Linked DNA regions of Sus scrofa. The protein of the gene in region 1 purifies or fractionates together with the protein of each later gene. This does not show direct contact. Links are inferred from orthologs where the notes say so. Each region holds a gene or a part of one and is shown in the gene's direction. Other genes may lie near its edges. The genes, in order: NEDD4, LAPTM5 and LAPTM4A.

Region 1 (3,648 bases):
CTTTTATAGCTATCATATGCATACTTTATTTTTTTCACTAAAATAACATATCAAGGTATTATGCTTAATTTTAGACACATCAACATGAGTTGAAAAATGGTGGATCAGAAATAGTTGTCACCAATAAGAACAAAAAGGAATATATTTAGTAAGTATTTTGTTGTAACTATAAATACTTTAAGGGAAATAATTTTGTGCCTTCTTTCTCAATGAGTCAGAGTCTCAATTTTGTTTTCTTGCTTTTTTAAAATAAAAAAGTATTGTTTACTTATTATTTATTTATTGGCCATATCCATAGCATGCAGAAGCTCTCAGAGCCAGGGATCAAACCAGTCACATCAGTGACAATGCTGAGTCTTTAACTACTAAGCCGCCAGGAAATTCCCTCTTTTTTCTCTTTTTATCACAATGTCATATTACATTCAACTTTTTCCTTGGGCCTACCTAGCCTTTGTTTTTTTTGTTTGTTTGTTTCTAATCAAAATACATGTACCTTAACATTTTTTCTTGGTTCCTATGGAAAAGATGAAATGTTTTGTTTCTTTTAGTCTTGTAATACAATGGCGATTTGTAAACCGAATCCAGAAGCAAATGGCTGCTTTTAAGGAGGTATTCATTTTCTTTTGTTTGCTGTTCTGTAATTTCCCAGTCCAGTCCATAAGTTTTAAATAATTGGGCCCTATTATACCAGAGAAAAAGTAGCATGTGGCTTACTTTTTAAGACCATTTGTAAGTATATCTTCGTATTAGCAAAATAGTAAATGAATAGGTGTTCAATTAAAACACAGTCATTTAAGAATCCATACAGTAAATGTTGACCTCCCCCCTTAATAACTGTCGTTTCCTCTCACCTTTTATAGTTCCACTCCTGCCACCTTATGTAACCTTAGGTGAACAGAGGAACACGAGTGCTAGAGGGGTGGCAGAGTCTACCATTTGCTTCTTTCTGTAATGGGCTCACACTGTCCATGGTGGCTTGTGACTTGCTTTCTCTTATCAAATATTTTTGGAGGTCTTAACAGATCAACATATTTAGTGACCTTTCTTTGTAGCTGCATTTTATTCATGATGTAAATTCCCAGGTTATTCTTCCCAATTGATGGACATTTAGGCTGTCATCATTTCTTACGCTAATAAAGGCCTTCTGTTAAATATTTATCACATGCTTTTTCCTGTATTCAGTAGCAAGCACTGACTCTGTGTCTGGTGCTATGCAAGACAAAAAGACATAGGGCCTGCTGTCAAGGAACAGAGCATCTAAAGGGTGAAATGGACAGAGGGAACCTGAAGTGCTAGGTAAGCAGAGGAGAGGTGTAGACACCAGAGCAGGGAGGGGAGGAGGCAGGGGCAGGGACTGGCCAGCCACAGAGATGGAGGAAATGCAACTCTAAGCAGAGGGAGCAGCACATGTGAAGTCTGGCAGTAAGACGGACTATGCACACCTTAGAGAAAGTGCCAGCAGTTACCTTATTGGTAAGAGGATGCCATTGTGGCTGAGCAAAACCCAACTAGTACCATGAGGGTAATGGCCTCGCTCATTGGGTTAAGGCTCCAGTGTTGTCGTGAGCTGCGGTGTAGGTCGCAGATGTGCTGTGGCTGTGGTATAGGCTGGCAGCTGCAGCTCTAATTCAACCCCTAGCCTGGGAACTTCCATATGCCACAGGTGTGGCCCTAAAAAAAAAAAAAGGAATGAAAGAGCTAAAACTAAGCCTGGAAAGCTGAGCAGAACCAGATGATGGCGGGCCTGTTTATGTATAGTTTTCACTGAAATCCAGACAGTGAGAAAAGAAGGTGGCATTAAATGGTATTAAACATAAAACACCAGGATTCGGTGTTACATTTTGGCCAGATCATTCTTGAAGGGGTATGCAGTGAACTAGAGGAGGGCAGGACTAGCAGCGGAGGCTAGCTGGGTGAGAAACGGTCCGGATGGTGGGAAGAGAGCTGTGTGTGTATCTGAATGGCCCTCAGGAAGGGAGAGCTATAGCATTGGGTGATTTAAAGGATGGCAGCGTGGGGATCATCTGCATGTGTGTAGTGCAACTGTGGACTAGACAGGATGGAAAATTCCAAAGAACCCTAAGAATGGTGACAGTGGATGGCCACACGGGGGGCTGTGAGAACACCAACATTTAAGGAATGAACAGCAGAAGAAACATCAGTGGAAATCAGCTAAGGCAGATGAAGACATAGGAGATAAACCATGAATAGCAGACAGAGTTTCAAGAGCATAGGTGTTGTCAACAATATCATAGTGCAGAGAAGTCCGATACTGTGGGGATCTAGAAAGTGTTTATCAGAGGCAGCTGCAAAGCTGTCTTTGACTTTCTCTAGGACAGCTTCAGGAGAGCACTGATGAAGAGGTCAGATTGCAGTGGTTGAGGGAGAGATGGAGGTGAGCAGGTAGCTTTGGAAGGTACAGTAACACTGTCCAGAACATGACTGTGACGAGAAAAGAGAGGGGCTTGCCTTTTTGTTTTGTTTTTAAGGTAGATATGGCTTGAACGAATTTCGATGCATAAAGAGTGAGCTGATAAAAATGTCGTGAGATGACATCCTTGAGGCAGAAGAAGCACTGAGAGGAAGTGGTCCCTCTCCCCAGGGCGGGGGAGGAAGCCCTCATGGATGTTGGTGCTGGTTGGTCTGGGGGGATGCAGAAGGCTGAGGGAATTCCATCCTGCAGCGTCGCCTCAATTTTCATTCTAAAATAGATATTATCTGCTGTGAAGAAGGGATGATATGGAAGAGAAGGAGGCTTGAAAAGTGCAGAGTTTTAAAACGGCCACTTTGAGGGATCAGTGAGAGAACAGACACATATCTCGTCTTGCCAGTATTGAATTGTCAGTTAAGAGCCCACGGGTGTGTAGTGGTAGGAATCTGTGTGGCCTTGGGATTTCTCCAGTAATGCCCGAAGCTGAAATACAGGGTTACCCTCTGACTCTGCTAACCGGAGTTTGAAATATATTCTTTCCACTAGGGATTTTTTGAACTGATTCCACAGGATCTCATCAAAATTTTTGATGAAAATGAACTAGAGGTGAGAAATATCGTGCTTATCTTCAAACAAGACCTTTGTGCCAATTTTTCTTGCTTGTGGTTTGACATTTTCTATTTTGTAGCTTCTCATGTGTGGATTGGGAGATGTCGACGTGAATGACTGGAGAGAACACACAAAGTACAAAAATGGCTACAGTGTAAATCATCAAGTCATCCAGTGGTTTTGGAAGGTAATGGAAAGCTTCCATTTTCAGAAATCGCTTTTCGGTAGATGCAACCATATTACATCTTCTAGTGTGGATCACATATAGATAAGAGAGAAAGTATATATCACCCCGCAAAAATTATCTTTGATTTTGTACTGTATACATTTACCTTCTAGATATGGTCCCACCCTCCGTACATATTTATAGATAAGTAACATGTTGAAAATGTAGTAAGTGGCAGTGACAGCAGAGGCACTTCTGTTCCTCTTTAAAGAAGAGACCCTTCAGAGTTCCTGTCACGGCTCAGTGGTTAACAAATCCAACTAGGAACTATGAGGTTTCAGGTTGGATCCCTGGCCTCGCTCAGTGGGTTAAGTATCTGGCGTTGCCATGAGCCATGGTGTAGGTCACAGACGCAGCTCAGATCCCAAGTTGCTGTGGCTCT
Region 2 (3,748 bases), on another chromosome or scaffold:
ACAATTAAGTCCAGACTCCTCAGCCTGGCTTCAGGGTTCTGCTGGCCCCTGCTGGCCCCTGCTGTCCTCATCTCTAGCCAGCCTGGCCCTGCTGTTCTTGGGCAGAACAGAGCTTTTCTTGCTCCATTGGCTACCCAGCCAGGAAGTGCCAGGATTTGAACCCAGGCATGAGCCTTGGGACCAAGGTGTTAACCACTATACTGTACCAACTTTATGATGCCTGGTCTCAGCAAGGCAAAAAAAAAAAAAAAAAGAAAAAGAAAAAGAAAAAGACAGGCTTGAAAATGAAGCAGGGAAGGGCTTAGCCAGGTCACCCAGGAGCCCCAGGCTTGTAGAGACCTCTTGGTGTCATTGGCAAACAGAAAAAGTTTTGATCAAGTCCCCCAACCACATTTTGTAGGTCCCACAGAGAAACTCCTGCCAAGGAGAGGAGCTTAGAGAACTTTTATAACCTCTCCTGGTGCAGAGATGATGGGCAGCTATAGTGGCCAATCCTAACTGCATGAGCTCATGAGAGGGTGGGACTTCACGGCAGGTCCGGCTGTGTTCTCCACTGGACGTTTCACTTAGCAAGTGAGCTCAGTGTCTAGACAGAACAGGCTTCTGATGGGAATTCTGCAAATGCCTCATGCTCCCTTCCTTTATTGCAGTGTGGATGGATAACTTCTCGTGGGAGAAGGGAGTATACATCCCAGGGTAGATTGCTTAGTAGTCACAGTAGATTAATTCCAGCTTCTCCTAAGAGTGAGGGGGGAAATCCCTGATTGCGCAGGAGCAGTAGGGGGCCTCGAGGCTCACAAAGGAGGGCTTGACTGCAGGTCTCCCAGGTTACTGTGAGGCATCAGTGACCCAGCAGTGGGAAGAGCCTAGCCCAGGGCCTGACCAATAGTTGATGGGTTTGCTCAGCAATTATTCTTGTCCTGGTTCGGACAGAGTTTAGGAAGACATGCTTCTCTCCAAGGCTGGGGGTAGCGTGAAAACACCAGCCCTGAGGGGGCAGCTTCTAGCACCAGTCAAGCCTCGGCTTAAATCCCTATTCCTCTTCGGGTTAGCTGTGTGACTTCAGACAAATCACTTTCCCCCTCTGTGCCCTAGTTTCTTCATCTGTAAAACAGGAATAATAACAGTACCTCCCTCAAAGGATCGAGGAGCGCATCCGGGAACAGCCTTAGAACACAGAGGAACTACTAGACAATAGCTTTTGTAGCCCGACAGGCCTGGGTTGGAATCCTGCCCGCCCACGCTAACTGCTGTGTGATTTGGGGTGAATACCTTGACCTCTCTGGACCTCTGTGTCTCTGGCTGGATGTGGGATTGGTGACAGTCCCTGCTTCCAAGGATGGTGGTGAGTGTCCTGTATATAACCCCTTACCCGCCAGCCCTGGCACGTGGTAGGCACTGATGGTGCGAGGGTCTGCCCTCCCTGGTGGAGCCCCTCCCCAAAGTGGCAGGGGCCGCCTGTCATGCTCGATGGGGCCCTTCCCTGCTGCCCCGCCCCAGCTGTGACGCCTTTGCCCCTGCCTGTCTGAAGGGCAGGAAGGAAGTGAGGAAGGCAGCCGGCGGCTTCCCCTTTTCTGCCCTGCTCCAGGCGCCCAACTCCTTCCCTGCCAGCGCCTCGAGGAGGGGAGGTGGCACCATGAGCACCCGCACGGCCGCCACCCGCCAGACCTGCTGCTGCTTCAATGTCCGCATCGCCACCACTGCTCTGGCCGTCTACCATGTGGTGAGTGTGTGGGCAGCTGGGGGACAGCCGGTGTGCTTGTGAGAGCAGCACCCCTCCAATGGGAGGACCCCCTCTTCGTGGAACCCTGGACAAAGCCCTTCCCAGCTCTGGGCCTCGGCCTCCCACTCTGTCAGAAGAGGGAAGGGGGCCCAGCGGCAGCGGGCGAAGCGAGCAGCGGCGGGAGGAGGGGGTCCTTATTCTAAGCGAATGAATGCAAGTTCGGGTCCTCTCTGAGGCTCCGTTTGGGCCTCGGTGCAAAGGGACAGCTGTGAAGTCTTCCAGGTACAGACGGAGCAGCAGATGTGAAAGTGCTTTGGGAGCCAGAAATCTTGGGAGAAACGCAGGCTGGGATCGTAGCCAGGATATGGGGTCAGGTCACAGGCCCTGGCTTCCCCCCTTCCCCTGGGGCCTGGGCTGCTGGAAGGGACGAGAAGGACTCTCCCCTTTGTGCTTCTAGAGAGGCGGGAGAGGGCAGAGTCCTCTCGGCTTCCAGCTTCTGGGACAAGCCTCCTCCCCACCAAAGACAGCTCCATCTTGCATGGACGAGCAGGGTGACTTGACGGGCCCGAGGTCCTGGGGGGCCAGCCTAGGGGAATGGGCCCAGCGGGTCTCTTTTGGAGGCTGGTGTGCACAGGCAGGTTTGGAGTCTGTGTCATTAACTCAGAATGACCCTGGGGCTGGAGGCTCCCCCTTTGTCTTGGTGCCTGAAGGTTGGGGTCTCTGTTCTGCTTTGCCCAGACCCATCCCCCACTCCATGACTTCGAGCCACACCCAGTTCCCCTGCTCCCCAGCCCCCAACCCTGTGCCTCCCTCCCAGGGTGACTCAGGGCCTGTGGTTAACAGTTCTTTTATGAGCCTGGAAGGGCTTCCTCAAAATTAGCCTAAATCCGGCCTGCTTCGGTGGGCTGTTGTAAACTGCTCAGACCTGGCTGCATCTGCTTCCTGTCACAGGCTGAGCAGGCAGGGCTGTGGCTAGACCCCAGCCTGCAGAGGGCTGGGGCTATTCAGGGCTCAGTGCACAGTCTCTGGATCTAGATTCCTGTGTGCCAAATCCTGGCCTCATCCCTTCCTAGCTGTGCAGCCTCTGGCTGCTTACTTAACCTCTCTGAATGTCAGTTTGTCATCTAAAAAAATGGGCCCGAGACTAATAATGCATCTTTGGTCACTGTGAGGATCAAGGGAGTAAATATATGCAAGGCACGTAGCAGAGCTTGACAGGTAGTTGAGTATTTTATTACTAGGACTGCCCCAGACGCGGAGCCTGCTGCCAGCACACCTGTAAGTCAGCTGTCAGACCTCAGGGCCCTGGTTTGGGGCGGAGCTCAGAGGTTGCTCTGTTTAACTTCTGCCAGTGCAAGAATGATCCCGGAAGACGTAAATGGCACCTTGGCTGTGCCCAGGCTCTTGGCTGTCCCTGGGGCCTCTTCAAGCTTGTGTAACATTTTTGGAAGTGCAGGGTAGCAAGCAGGGGTGTCCCCATAGGATGCGGGCCCCTGGGTCCCTATTGTGGTTGTGCCATTAACTGCCTATGTGACTTTGTACAAGAGGCTCCCTTGGGCCTCTGTCTTTCTTTTTTATTTATTTTTTATTTTTTGTCTTTTTGCCTTTTCTAGGGCCGCTCCTGTGGCATACGGAGGTTCCCAGGCTAGGGGTCTAATTGGAGCTGTAGCTGCCAGTCTACACCAGAGCCACAGCAACATGGGATCCGAGCCGCGCCTGCGACCTACACCACAGCTCACGGCAATGCCGGATCCTTAACCCACTGATGGAGGTCAGGGATCAAACCCTCAGTCTCATGGTTCCTAGTCGGATTCGTTAACCACTGAGCCATGACAGGAACTCCTGTCTTTCCTTTATAGGATGACAGGCAAGGGCTCGTGGACTGGCTCAGAGGTCTCAGATACCCATGCCGCTGGGGCCCCAGCAGCTCATAGAAGTGGGCATAGTAGGGCAGATGGACGCATGGTGAGCTGGGGAGTCTGGTCCGGGTCTCTGCTGGCGGCTGCTCTCTGTTTCCGTTGATTG
Region 3 (3,648 bases), on another chromosome or scaffold:
TGTATGTGGGGAGTTAAGCAATGATGGTCTCGTCTGCGATAATGAATTAGGGCCCCCCATGACAGCAGCAAAGGAGGCTCGAAGGTCAAAGCCGTGCGGTGGAGGGGCAGGGAGCACTCTGGCCTGACGTAAGGTCTGGGTGGAGGTGAAGGATCCAGATAAATGAAAGTTTATTTCAGAAATGCTGTCTTATAGAAGAGTTGTTTTCTCGAAACCCACTTCAGATAGTCCATTTTGCATACCACCAAGTTTATCATTCATTCACGCAGAAAACATTTGTTGATTGCTTCCTGTGTGCAGGGCACTCTGCTAGGTCCTAGAGCTGTGTCAGTAAAACTGACTTTAAAGTGAAAGAATTGGAAAGTTGACTGTTTTTTGTTTTTTTTAGGGTTGAATCCGAGGCATATGGAAGTTCCCAGGCTGGGGGTCGAATCGGAGCCATAGCCACTGGCCCACACCGCAGCCACAGCAACCCCGGATCTGAGCTGCGTCTTCCACCTACACTGCAGCTCACGGCAGTGCCGGATCCTTAACCCACTGAGTGAGGCCAGGGATCCAAGCCCTCGTCCTCATGAATACTGCTTGAGTTTGTTACCACTGAGCCACAACGGGAACTCCAGAAGTTGACAGTTATTGAGTTAACATCGTGATAAAAGCAGGGAAGGAAAAGTGTTGGCTGCTTTGTGAGTGGGTGTCACACAGATAGCAGACCTGGCCTGGGAAGTAAGGTTTGAATTGCCCTCCAGAGTCTGCATAGGACTGAGGGGAGGGAAAGTGCAGAAGAAGGCGTTCTGTCTAAGAGCTACCTGGAGGCGGGAGGGCAGCTGACAGTGTCAGGAGACTAAAGGAGAACCTTGGCGGCCTCACCCACATGCAGGGACAGGAGCAACATGAGATAGGGCTGGGGAGACGAACCGGGGCAGAGCCTGCAGACCTGCTCAGCCGTGGTCAGCAGCTTCCTAAGCTTAGTTCTCTCCGATCTGTCATCTCTGGCTGAAAATCTGCAAACCTTCTGAGTAAAATTTCTAGCATTCACCATTTTCGATTTCTAGAAATCAAGAAGCTGACCCTTTTTGATTTCTAGATGAAGGCTTAACAGTTTTATCACAAGAACACCCTTAGCTAGGGTTTGGGATTGGTATGCGGATATGATTTTCTTTTTCTTTCTTTCGTGTTTTTCTGTTTTGTTTTTTGGTCCTTCGGGATTTCTGTGTGCTGCTTTTTAATGAAAATGTAAAGTTATTTGGGTCTTTGTGTTGGCATTTCCATTAAAATAATTGTATGTTTTAAAAAATAAAATGAACTTTATAGAAAAACATCGAAAGGAATTTACTACTGCTTTTATAGAACCCCAGTGGTTTCTCCCTTCTGTTTTATTCACTTGGTGTCTCAGACTGGAAAATATTTTCTTTGTTGGCCAGCTTGTATGTAAATCCTAAATTATTCTTTTGTAATACCCTTCTCCCTGGACCTGGCTCATTGCCATGTATGCAGTAAATGCTAAAGAAATATTTGAATAAATAAATACAGCTGATCCTTCTCAATAAAACATCATATGTCGCCAGGAAATAGTATAATCCCAGGCTTCATAATCAGGGGCATACCTTCTTTGTGTCCCTTTCTGATGAGTGTTGAAATTAATTGACACTTGGCTTTTAAAAAATTATTTTCCCCACGTAGGACGGAATAGTTAATCTTGGCATCTCCCAACTGAGTAACTCAGTGATCCAGGGACATATCTGGGGTCATGTAAAGGAGATAGACCAGAGGCCGGAAAGATATAAAATAAAGAGAAAACAAGCTCGGTTTAGACTCTGAGGAGTAGTCTAGGTATTCATACATTTTAAGTGATCAATAGCATGCATTAATGATGAGGCTTGAGAGTATTTTGAGTTAAATTCTGTTTATAAGTTTTTATTAGAATATCAGTTCTGACTTGGGTGCCTTGTGTTTGTATTCTTAAGATGCTCTCTAGGTAACCACAGAGTACATGCGCCATGGCTGAGTTACAGGGTGTATGTGTCTGAGGTCCATGGTGTACTTAGGGCTCACTTTGGGTGTTGTGCCTTCTGGGGGTTTGGACCAGTGTGTAATGACATGTACTCACCATTATGATGTCATACAGAAGAGTTTGCCTGCTCTAAAAATCCCTTCTGCTCTGGCTGTTCACCCCCCTCCTTTTTTATAGCCTGATTTCCCCTATAAAGACGACCTCCTGGCATTGGACTCCAGCTGCCTCCTGTTCATTGTTCTTGTGTTCTTTGCCTTGTTCATCATTTTTAAGGTGAGTTGCTGACTGAATACTTGGGGGTGGGGGGTGGGGGCGTTTGGACAGTGACACGGTTCATCTGAGCCTTCTTTTTACCTTGTCTCCTTGCAGTCAGCAGTGAGTGAGTGTTTATTCTGACGTGGTGGTAGAGATAACTTCTAGGGAATGTTCTTCCTTTTGTTTTCAGGCAAATGGTTAGAAATGCCAGGATTCTTCCTAAGTGGAAGGAACATCATTATGCTTTTGGACATGGTTCATGATTAGGATTGAAAATAAGTTAAAATTCCCAAGGTTCAGAAGTAGCATTTCTCCTGCAGCACAGTGGTCACACTTGAACCCCCAAACTCTGATCTCTCTGTTAGATAGTGGTAATAGGAGTGTCCGAGTGGCGCAGCGGGTTAGGAATCCCGTGTTGTCACTGCTGTGGCACAGGCTTCCTCCCTGTCCCAGGACTTTCTGCATGCCGTAAGTGCAGCCAAAAACAAACAAGCAAGCAAGCCAACAACCACAGTGGTAATAAAACCTGTGACATTTGAGTGAGGGCAGGTAGGGGGAGCACCTGGCCTGCGCTAGGTCCAAGCGGATAGAGATCCCTTCTCCGTAGAGAAAGCGGGAGAGAGCACTCTAAGACGCTTATTTTAGAGCACCGAGTCTGCTGAGTTTCCAGCATATGTAAATTTTGTTTGTATTCTTTTAGGCTTATCTAATCAACTGTGTTTGGAACTGTTACAAATACATCAACAACAGAAACATGCCAGAGATTGCTGTGTATCCTGCCTTTGAAGCACCTCCACAGGTGAAGGCCCCTTTAACATAGTAAAACTTGGGGAGCCACTGTGGATTATTCCCAAGAGGAGCACCTGGATCTCCACTTTCTTGTCATTGCCGTAACTGTGGTTTAGGGTATGGAAAAGGGTAAATTCACACGTCTCGGCATTTCCCAGTTGGAATCCCGAGAACACGGGCTAGAGGCACCCTGCACTGCTCGTCTCAGTCAGTTTGGCCAATAGGTTGGGTTCATAAGTGTTCTCCAAGTATCACACTTTGAGGGGGGGATCAGACAGGGGACAGTATTGTGAGCAGTGCCAGGCTCTTGGCTTTGGGAACTTCTAAGGCAGCGTACTTCCATCAGCTGAATCTTGTGTTGCTTTCCGGAAACATCAGTATGATCCAGAGGGGAAGCTGATTTTCCTCTGGGGAGGTAAATGCAGCGGATTTCATGAATCTGTTGGGGAGGCCTACCTCCCAGGCCCTCAGTTGCCGCTGTGCTGTCCTCCCAGGTTTCCAACATGTGGAATGGATGTGGCCTCTGTAGGGTTAGTCTGTCACGTGAGAGTCACTTAGGTTCAAAAAAGCCACCCTCCTCCATAGGTGTGCCC

The links.
Region 2: the proteins of NEDD4 (region 1) and LAPTM5 purify together in Homo sapiens (affinity purification with western blotting; 3 studies listed by BioGRID and IntAct, with this or other methods). This does not show direct contact. The link is inferred for Sus scrofa from reciprocal best matches to the Homo sapiens genes NEDD4 and LAPTM5.
Region 3: the proteins of NEDD4 (region 1) and LAPTM4A purify together in Homo sapiens (affinity purification with western blotting; 3 studies listed by BioGRID). This does not show direct contact. The link is inferred for Sus scrofa from reciprocal best matches to the Homo sapiens genes NEDD4 and LAPTM4A.

The regions. Positions count from the first base shown.
Region 1 is NC_010443.5:116,059,670-116,063,317, forward strand, and holds part of NEDD4 (E3 ubiquitin-protein ligase NEDD4), read left to right. Parts: intron 1-74; coding exon 75-148; intron 149-548; coding exon 549-609; intron 610-2,977; coding exon 2,978-3,037; intron 3,038-3,119; coding exon 3,120-3,227; intron 3,228-3,648. UniProt on the Homo sapiens protein: E3 ubiquitin-protein ligase which accepts ubiquitin from an E2 ubiquitin-conjugating enzyme in the form of a thioester and then directly transfers the ubiquitin to targeted substrates. Specifically ubiquitinates 'Lys-63' in target proteins.
Region 2 is NC_010448.4:87,388,127-87,391,874, reverse strand, and holds the start of LAPTM5 (lysosomal-associated transmembrane protein 5), read left to right. Parts: upstream 1-1,503; 5' UTR 1,504-1,636; coding exon 1,637-1,723; intron 1,724-3,748. UniProt on the Homo sapiens protein: May have a special functional role during embryogenesis and in adult hematopoietic cells.
Region 3 is NC_010445.4:118,165,316-118,168,963, forward strand, and holds part of LAPTM4A (lysosomal-associated transmembrane protein 4A), read left to right. Parts: intron 1-2,188; coding exon 2,189-2,284; intron 2,285-2,966; coding exon 2,967-3,065; intron 3,066-3,648. UniProt on the Homo sapiens protein: May function in the transport of nucleosides and/or nucleoside derivatives between the cytosol and the lumen of an intracellular membrane-bound compartment.